Sus scrofa: one gene and its partner. The protein of the gene in region 1 interacts with the protein of each later gene in a pairwise test. Links are inferred from orthologs where the notes say so. Each region holds a gene or a part of one and is shown on either strand. Other genes may lie near its edges.

Region 1 (4,794 bases):
AGGTAGCTGTTACCACACCAGGCCAACTCATAGCTCCCCTCTCATTACAGAATGGACATCTATGTTTAACATAATTATACCACTGGATTGGTCAACCAACCTGGGACAAACAATGGATCCCTAAACACATTCTTTCACAAATGAATGTTACTCTAAATAACTCTGTCTCTCTCTCACTTCAATATCTTTGTTATTCCATTTTCCCTCTACTCTTCCAAGGAGCAGGTAAGATTAAAGAGCATTCGTAGGAGAGAACCCCCAAAGGCTTCTGTTGATGGTCTCATAAAAACAGAATGTATTCTCTGCCTCTGAAAACCAGTCTGGAGCTCCATTACTGCGAGGAAAACAGCTCCATCAGCTTTTCTTCTATTCCCCCGGGAGAATAAGTAGAGACACACTACTTTTCCTGAAGTTACAAGACCCCCGAAATCATCCCAGAAAACCTCTAAGCACTGATAAATCATTGGCCAAGATATCAAAAAAAAAGTCACCTCATTCCAAGATGTTGGGCATACTTCTCCAAACTGAGACCACCACTCTTTAGAATCTTGTCTACTGGAGTTTTGCCTCCCAGCACTTCTTGCAAACCCTTGTGTCACCCCTTCTGACTTTCCACTGATTTTTCAGCTGTTTAATTTTAAAGTGTATATAATTTACCCATGAGAAGTCAAGATCTTTAAAAACAGGAAACAAAGGCAGACAACAGAAAAATTTCAGTACACAAAGAGAAAGTTCTCAAAAGGATATCAAATTATAATACATTTCACTAACAGAAGGAAGCTTTATACTTACAGTCGGTACATACTCAGATGGAAATTTGTTTGTCGTGTAGGATATCAGGAGACATGTTTTACCAACGGCACCATCGCCCACAACAACACACTTAATCGTCTGCATTGCTGAAACAGTTTTGTATCCACTTTAAATATTTCAAATTTGATGATGACCTACAAAAAGATTCAAGATATTCATCTTAATTATTTGTACTTACAAATATTTTACTTTCTTCAACTAGCAACAGGTTCACTTAGAGCAAGAACAGAACTAGCACAATGGAGCTCTCGTCATGGTGCAGCAGAAACGAATCGGAACCAGGAACCATTACATTGCAGGTTCAATCCCTGGCCTCGCTCAGTGGGTCAAGGATCCGGCGTTGCCGTGAGCTATGGTGTAGGTTGCAGACGCGCAGCTCACATCTGACATTGCTGTGGCTCTGGTGTAGGCCAGAGGCAACAGCTCCGATTAGAGCCCTAGCCTGGGAACCTCCATGTGCCGCGGGTGCAGACCTAAAAAGTCAAAAGACAACAACGAAAAAAACAAAAACCTAACACACCAACTACTTTGAAGCTAAAAGAACCTAAGAGAAATTAGTGACTTGCAAATAAGAGTCAATTTTCTACGTTTCTGATCCTTGAGAAGTGTTTTTTTGTTTGTTTGAAGTCAAACGTATTGTAAAAAAGAGTTTCCACTGTGGCTCAGCATTAATGAACCTGACTAGTATCCATAAGAACTATCCCTGGCCTCCCTCAGTGGGTTAAAGTTCCAGCATTGTCATGAGCTGTGATGCATGTCAAAGGCAAGGTTCGGATCCTGTGTTGCTGTGGTGTAGGCTGGCAGCTGCAGCTCCAATTCGACTCCTATCCAGGGAACTTCCATATGCTGTCAGTGCGGCCCTAAAAAGGCCAAAAAAAGGGTAGTGTCAAGAGAAGCATATTTCTTTTTAGGGCCATATCCACAGCATATGTAAGTTCCCAGGCTAGGGGTCAAATCAGAGCTACAGCTGCCAGCCTCTACCACAGCCACACCAATGCTAGATTCAAGCCATGTGTGCAACTTACATCACAGCTCACACCAACACCAGGTCCTTGACCCACTGAGTGAGGCCAGGGTTCGAACCTGCGTCCTCATGGATATTAGTTAGGTTTGTTTTCTCTGCATCACAATGGGAACTCTAAGCATATTTCCTTTTATAACGGAAGAGAAGAGGCTGTTTTAGAATGAATCTCGCGCAGAGTATCAAGTGTTATTTTGTGCAACTTTTCCTTCAACATGCCCACACACCTGTATATATGCATACCAAAATGCAATATAAAAGCCACTACTTCAAAGAATGGTCCTTTTAGCCAATCTTAGAGCTATGGTTACTCAGGGTATATAACCAACAAGCAGCAGAACACTACACCCGCCCCCCCACACACACACCCCATAATAGATGAGCACCACAAGGAACTGGACAAAGATTAGTGTGATCCCTGGTCTCAGCAGATGTTTCAGTACCAAACTGCCTAGTTACTAGTTCAATATACATGGCACGAAGAGGCCAAAACCTACATTTTTATAATGAAAAAGTGAGATCACTCTAAAGCACTCTTACAAATAGGTAACAATTACTTTAATTCCTTTTACTACAGTCCTCCATTCTAAGAAGCTATCAATTAAAAATGCACCAATATTTATTACATTTCATCAATTCTGAGATGCTGTTTTTACATTTAAACATTTCTAAAATCGAAACTTATCGTGGAGTTCCCTGGCAGCCTAGCATTTAAGGATCTAGTGTTGCCACTGCTATAGTATAAGTTCAATACCTGGCCCAAGAACTTCTGCATGCCAAAAAAAAAAAAAAAGTATCTCTACTGGAAGGGCCTTATATTTGCTACCAGCTGTTTTTCCCCTCATATTTTGATGGTCTATGAAAATTGGCCTATATGACTTCTTAGAATCAATGAAAATTTTTAACAGTTTTTCTGGAAGAATAGAGAAGAAACACCACCCCCGGTATATCTATTTTATGATAAAGTCCTATTTCAATTATAATCCTGAAGGGGTTACAATTCCTTGCTAATCAGAGCTGCCATTTATTAAATACAAAAATGTCAAGGAACCGTCGAAGCCTGGGATGGATGCCAGGCCTATAATGCTCTGATAGTAACCTTCACAACTCTTTTGTCTGTTCTTTGTTTTTTTAGGGCCGCACCTGTGGCATATGGAGGTTCTTAGGCTAGGGGTCGAAAGAGAGCTGCAGCTGCCAGCCTATACCACAGCCACAGCAATGCCTGATCCGAGTCACATCTGCGACCTCCACCACAGCTCATGGCAACACCAGATCCTTTAACTCACTGAGCAAGGCCAGGGATCAAACCTGAATCCTCATGGGTACTAGTCAGATTCTCAACCCACTGGGCCACAATGGGAACTCCCAACCTTCACAATTCTTAATCACTTATAAATGCCTATTACCATCTCTGTATGTACACATCAAGAGTGAGTAAACCACAGAAATACATACTCTCCTGTTTTCATCAAAACCATCCTGACTACATTTCTCTTTATTTAACCTTCTTTTATTTTTTCCTTCTTTTCTCTGTAATGCACTGGAGATGCACTCATACTAGGTTAAGGATCTTGATCCCTAACCTAAATCAAATTACTTGTCAAATCACACTAGGAATTCCCTGGTGGCTCAGAGGGTTAAGGACCCAGCACTGTCAGTGCTGTAGCTCAAGCTGCAGCTGTGGCATGGGTTCGATCCCTGGCCAGAGAACTTCCACATGCCAGGGGGAATGGCCAAAAAAATAGTAATAAATCACACTAAATAGCGTACTAAATTAATTCTAAAGAATTGTTCCAGAAGAATTTCCTTCACTTAATAGTAAAAGCATAAAGAGGAAATAGGAATGGCTGTCTTCCCAAGGCTCCTTAGTTCACCTCTGAAAAAGAGTGTAACACATTCTGCTAAAAAAAACATGGTCTTCTGTAGAATTTCCTTCCAATTCAGAGTGGAGAAAAGCAAGCAGAGAGTGTTCTGATCATTATTCCAGGGCAATTGTTTTTACAGAATGTTTAATCATAAATACTGGACAAAAAGTAAGGTTTGATCACTGCAGTAGGGACTGCTAGTAATCTGCCAATTCTTCTTCTCGTCTTTTGTAACAGAATTTTACAGATGCATATCACCCCTAGCAAAGACTACACTTCCTAAATTCTTCTGCAGCTATATGTGACCACTGTGACTTAAGTTCTGGCAAATGGAAACAGAGGTGATGGCTGCAACTTTCAGGACTAGCCTTAAACAGCAAGAGGAATAGTGTCTCCTGTCCCGGCCTTTAGGCTGAAATGCAGGCACGATGATAGGAGCCAAAATGGGAGCCAAAGCAGTCACACAAACTGCAAGACAGAGATTATATGCTAATGGAGTTCCTGTCATGGCTCAGCAGAAATGAATCTGACTAGTATCCATGAGGACGAAGATTCGATCCCTGGCCTCGCTCAGTGGGTTAAGGATCCGGTGTTGCCGTGAGCTGTGGTGTAGGTCACAGATGTGGCTCGGATCTGGCATTGCTGTGGCTGTGGGGTAGGCCAGCAGCTACAGCTCTGATTCAATCCCTAGCCTAGGAACCTCCTTATGCAAGAGTGCGACCCTAAAAAGACAAAAAAAAAAAAAAAAAGAAGAAGAAGAAGAAATTATATGCTAAGTACGAATAACACAATAAATAGGAGGGGCCAGCCTTGTACTGCCTTCCAGGACTTTTACATGAAAAAGACACTTCTCTTCCACTAAGCCCCTAATGCACTGGACTCCTCTGTTACAGCAACAGAACTGAAATCTTAATTACATATTTCACAGACTCTAAGAAAATAATTTTAAAATACATTCTAAATTTAGAGGTGTTAAGTGTAAGAGAAAAAGTCTTAGAATCTATTCTAGTAATAGCTAGATTTAATCAATAATTTTACAGTAAACTTGACCATTTTTGAGACTTTGTCTTAAAAACATCTCAGATAAATGCTACT
Region 2 (5,399 bases), on another chromosome or scaffold:
CCAGGAGCCGTCCCACAGCGCTGGCCGGGGAAGGGGGCCGGCCAGGCCCGGGCAGACTGGGGAGCAGCACACCCCACACACCTCCCCGGGCCACAGGGAGCGCGGACAGGGCAGGGACCGGGGGAGACCACATGCTCATGCAGACACGGGGTTAGAGGTTAGGGCCGCCCCCCCAGCACGCGTTCACATGTTAAGGCATCATGGTTAGACGGTCACTGACAGCGGTGGATGGACTGACCGGGGAGAAGTGAAAGCGGGAGGACAACCGGCCCCGCCAGGCCCTACGCGGTACAGCCCGCCCCCGCCGGGAAGGGGGCCACGGTGGGAGCCAGGGCGACTGGAGGCCCAGGGACCCGGGCACCCAGAGCTCCCACGCGATGCCCGACTCTCCTGGGGGAAGCCAGGGCCTCGGGTCGGGTCAGGAAGGTGGGGACTTCGAGGACACCGAAGGGGAGACAAGGCCTGGGAGGAGCCCACCCCCCCCAGCACAGGCGGAAGCAGCAACGACACTAGACCACCGAGGCGGCTGGGTCTGCGGGCTGGAAGGGTGGAGGGGCGGGCGGCCAGGAGGCAGACGGGGAGAGGCGGCAGTGTGGGTGGCCCTGGCGGCACTTTGGTCTGGGGTCCGGGGGATGGGGGGGGTGGGGGGGCACGTCCTCGACCTCGGCCGCCCTGCCCGCCTCCCTCCGGCCGCAGCTCAGTCCTTCCACTCCTTCTTGATGGTGAGGTTCCACTCCCAGGACAGGTGGTCGGTCCTGTCGTCGTCTGTGAAGCGCGACTTGATGCTGTAGCTGCCTCGAGCCAGCATGCCCTTGGGCGCCTCCTCCATGGGCGTCAGGAACTCATACTCCTCCGCCCGGGGCCCGTAGCTCCCCACCATGTAATCGGTCTTGTCGACTGCGATGCAGGGAACACAGCCGTCAGGAGGCAGCTCTGCTCCCCACCCCCCGGGTCTCCCTCCCTCCTGGGGGCTGGGGGCCCCGCTCACTCACTCTTGACCCCCTTCCTGTACGTGTGCTGGATGTACTTCATGCCCGACACGATCTCTCGGTTCACCTGCAGGGAGGCACCCCGAGCAGGGCTCAGCGAGGCTTTCCCACCCAGGCCCCGCACCTCCCCGACGCCGGCGCCTTACCCGGAAAGAGATCTTTATCCGGTATTCCACACCCTCCTTCAGCACAAAGGATTGCTTCTTGAAACTCTCCAGATCTCCTGAATTTGAGAGAAAGACCATGCTAGGAAGTTCACCCAAAGGAAGTCACCTCCCACCATCCTGGGCACCCCAGACGCAAGACTGGAAAAGCCACAACCCCTGTAAGAGGACTCGGCTGCACTTCTTGTGCTCCCCAGCAGAGGGCGCCAGCAGCCCGAGAAACTATTTTTAGCGGAAGCAGCCGACCGCTGCGGCCCCAGCCAGGAACCTCGGAGAGGCCACTCACCTGTCAGGTCCAGCTCTAGAGGCCCTGGGGCAGTGCTACACACCAGGGTCAGGCGGGTCACCACGACATTGGGGACGTTGGGGTCTGCAAAGTGATCGCAAGTTAGAATTCTGCGGGGGGGGGGGGGGGGGGGTAAATAGCGGCAGACACCCAGGAAAGCCACGGGTACCCGCGCTCCTGTCCACTCACCAGCAGACACGGCCACGCGGCCCAACAGGGCCTCCTTGTACTTGCGCAAACTCTCGTCGTCCTTGTCCAGCTCCTGGATCTCCTGGATGCTCTTCTGGGCCGGGGGCTTGTAGTTGACCGAGTGCTCGTCCTCCTCGTTCTCAGCTGCAATCTGTGCCAGCTGCTCGGCGGTGGGCTCCTGCTCAGCCATGCTCTCTTCTAGCGGGGTCTGGGACACCTGTGGGCAGGGTGGCATGGGCTGTGGCAGCCTGGAGGAACCCAGCGTCGCCCCTTCTAGCCCTTCTGCAGGTCCCACTGGTGATCAGTGTTGGATCTTCCTCCACAGGTGGCCAAGCCTCCATGTGGGCCCAAGAGCAGGCGCATCCTCTGTAACAGGAAGGCCATGACAGCCAGAACGTCGAAAAGGGCCCGGAAACAGTCTCCCGAGGCCCAGAAGGGCCACCTTCACCTCCTCATCCTGCCCACCTCAGGGGACCCAATTCCAGGTCCACAGTATCCAGGGCTAGAGAGGCCCCAGCCTGCCCCTTGCAAAGACCAGGGACAGCTCCCCTGCTTCCAGGAAGCAGCAGCACCCCAGACCTACCTAGCAGGGTCAGGACCAAGTCCTGCTGCTTGTCCTGAATCGCCCAGGGGCTCACCTCAAGAGATCCCTCCTACTGACTATTGCTGATCGGTCTGTTCCTTCAGGCCTGTCCTAAATGTCTGTGCAGGCTACAAGTTAGTTCTTTCTCACCCTACAAACACAAGGCTCTCCTAAGGCTCAGATGACAGGGCTAGCCTGAGTCGCACAGATAAATCCTGAAATGGACGAGGGACCCTAAATGTCTGCCAACCTTATCTCCAGCTGTGAGGGTTCAGAGACCTAGAATTTGGAAACTGCTCTAGACGTGTGGGAATTTCAGGAGCCCCCTTCGGGATCCTCGCCCAGAAGAGCTCGCAGCAGTGCCATCAAAGAGAGGAGCAGTGCATAGGGCAGCCACTGGTCTTCTTTCACTAAGAATGACCATCGCATACCCCCCCCGGAATCCCCGAGCAGTATCTGAAACCCGCTCGGACCCGACTCGGTGGTGTGGGAGGTGGGTCAGGGCCGCCGTTGTCCGTAAAGACAGCCAAAGCCGGGATGTGCGCGCGGACAAGATCTCACAAAGGGCCGCGGGGGACCCGGAACCACCCGGCCGCCGAAGGCAGGGTGGGGCCCGGCCCGTATTTCCAGACCTCCTAGTCGCTTCCTCTGGAATTCCTCTAGAAAGCTCACGCCCTAACGCCACTCAAGCGCGGCCGCAGGCGACAGGATCCTCTAAGTGCGATCGCGCGGCGCGCACTTCCTGCAGGGCCCGCAATCTGGACAGGGCGCGGCAGGCGCGCGGGGTGGGGCGCGGGGGCCACACGGCTCAGGCGAGTGGGCGTCCGGCCGGAGCAGGCTGGCGTGCACCGGCGAGGAGGGAGCCGCTGAGCACGAGCTGCGACCACAAAAGAGGCCTGCACCTCTGTGCATCCCCAGCTCCCGCCCCCGGCCCCTACGCCCCCACCTCTCGCCTTCCAGCTCCCTCGCCGCCGCCTCCCTCCTCCGGCGTCCCCGATTCGCACGTGGGCTGCCCCGGCGCCCCGGCCGCCGCCCGCTGTCACCGCCGCCCCCGCCCAGCGCAGACCCTTCGGGTGGGCAGGCAGGAGGGCGGGGCGGGCGGGGCGGGCGGCGGGAACAAAGGCGCGGCCCCCCGCCTCCCCCTCCGCGGCTGCCCCGCCCGCTAGCCCACCGCACCAGCCGGCCCCGCCGCCCGCGCTCACCGGAGCCTCGACCGCGCCGCTCTCGCGCTCCCTCCCGCACGGAATGACGAACGTCGCCGCCCCACCCGCGCGCGCCCGGCCGGCCACTTCCGGGATCACGCGACTTCCGCTCGCGCCGGGCGGGCTCCGGAGAGCGCATGCGTGCGCGGGGGCTGCTGGGAGCGCGCCGCGGCCATCTTGAGATCCCGGCTTGTGGGCGCGTCCCGCGTGGGCAGCGAGCGGGGAGCCCTGTGGAGGCCGGTAGGGTTGGGGTTCTGCGCCCTTTGGCACCTGCGTTTCCTGGTCCGGGGCGTCCCCGCGGGTCAACCCGCAAGCTAAAGGGGCGAGGCAGTGGCTCGCGGACGGTGGGCGTGGCACGCGAGGCGCAGGCGTGTCTCTCGGGCACGCAGCCGTCACACCGCGGGGACGCGCTAGTCGGGCAGCCCCCGTCCCCGAAACCAGCGCGCCGTCCCTGCCTTTCCTTCCTTTCCAGACCCGTCAGCGTTTGGCCGCCCTGCCGGGAGCGCTCCTTCACGAAGAGAAACTCAGCATCGGGAGCGGCTCTGTGCCGCTCGTGACTCCGGAAGCCCCTGGCTCAGCCGCCACCGTCCCCCGGGGTCTCCACCCGGAGCGCCGGGGCTGGGGGCGCGCGTGATTTGTGGCCGGCGGGATGGAGCCCGCGCTGCCGAGGGCCCCCAGCGCTCGTCTCTCCGCGTGGGGTCCAAGCCCTCCGCTCCACGGCGCGGTCACGTACGCTCACCTGGATGGCGCATCGGCTTGTTAGGCGGTAGAAGCGATAGAACTGCGAAATACTGATCTTAGTATTTTTGGAAATGTCTCAACTTGCGCCAGTTTGGGGAATACTGTCAGCTTTCTGTGTAGAAAGTTGAGCTGGCCAAAGGCAGAGCATTCCAAGCTGGTTGGTTCCTGGGATGTGCTTCGCAGGCGTCCTGTTACTGGAAGCTGCAACGCCAGAGCCGGGCGTCCTGCCTCGCTGCCAAACTGCTTTCCAGTAACCCAAGTGCCTTTTACTTTATTTATTCTTTTTTTTTTTTTTTTTTGTCTTTTTTTTGTCTTTTTGCTATTTCTTTGGGCCGCTCCCGCGGCATATGGAGGTTCCCAGGCTAGGGGTTGAATTGGAGCTGTAGCCACCGGCCTATGCCAGAGCCACAGCAACGCAGGATCCCAGCCGTGTCTGCAACCTACACCACAGCTCACGGCAACGCCGGATCCTTAACCCGCTGAGCGAGGGCAGGGACCGAACTCGCAACCTCATGGTTCCTAGTCGGATTCGTTAACCACTGTGCCACGAGGGGAACTCCTATTTATTCTTTTTTTTTTTTTTTTCTCTCGCTTTTTTTAGGGCCGCAGCCGTGGCATATGGAGGTTCCCAGGCTGCGGGTCACATCAGAGCTACAGCTGCTGGCCTACACCACAGCCACAGCAACACGGGATCCAAGCCTAGTCTGCAACCTACACCACAGGTCAGGGCAACTCCGGATCCCCCTGAGTGAGACCAGGGATCGAACCCAAAACCTCATGGTTCCTAGTCGGATTTGTTTTCGCTGGGTCCCACACCGGGAACTCCCCCAAGTGCTTTTTAAAAAAATACCAGGCTCTTACATACATCGTCTGTTGCTGTGTAAAAGCAGGCCATGAAATTTAGCCACTTGAAACGACCAATTTTATTATTTTGCATAGTGTCCAAGGATCAGGGAGCCCCTCTGCAGGGTAGTTGTGGCTTTGGGTTTTGTATGAGGCTGTGGTCAAGCTGGGAACCAGGGACTTGGTCTTTGGACATCTGCAGGAATTCAAGCTCATGCCTGCGCTGTGGGCAGGAGGCTCGGGTCCTCCCTTTGGGGAGGAGGATTCAGTTCCCTGCTTCCTTCGGCCTCCCTCCCGAGTGAGGCCTCAGAACAAGAGTAAGCTCAAGACACAGCCTTAGTGTCCCTCACAGCGTCGTGTCAGACGTGCCGCCACTGCTGCCTCTCCTGCTGGCGACACAGA

The links.
Region 2: the proteins of CDC42 (region 1) and ARHGDIA interact in binary tests that used the Homo sapiens proteins (3 or more experiments, as listed by UniProt). The link is inferred for Sus scrofa from reciprocal best matches to the Homo sapiens genes CDC42 and ARHGDIA.

Annotation. Positions count from the first base shown.
Region 1 is NC_010448.4:80,065,094-80,069,887, reverse strand, and holds part of CDC42 (cell division control protein 42 homolog), read right to left. Parts: intron 948-4,794; 5' UTR 898-947; coding exon 793-897; intron 1-792. UniProt on the Homo sapiens protein: Plasma membrane-associated small GTPase which cycles between an active GTP-bound and an inactive GDP-bound state. In active state binds to a variety of effector proteins to regulate cellular responses. Involved in epithelial cell polarization processes.
Region 2 is NC_010454.4:1,111,456-1,116,854, reverse strand, and holds the start of ARHGDIA (rho GDP-dissociation inhibitor 1), read right to left. Parts: upstream 3,461-5,399; 5' UTR 3,414-3,460; intron 3,182-3,413; exon of another isoform or gene 3,158-3,181; intron 3,084-3,157; exon of another isoform or gene 2,844-3,083; intron 1,995-2,843; exon of another isoform or gene 1,864-1,994; coding exon of another isoform or gene 1,819-1,863; coding exon 1,629-1,818; intron 1,524-1,628; coding exon 1,440-1,523; intron 1,213-1,439; coding exon 1,136-1,212; intron 1,057-1,135; coding exon 993-1,056; intron 898-992; coding exon 698-897; 3' UTR 1-697. UniProt on the Homo sapiens protein: Controls Rho proteins homeostasis. Regulates the GDP/GTP exchange reaction of the Rho proteins by inhibiting the dissociation of GDP from them, and the subsequent binding of GTP to them.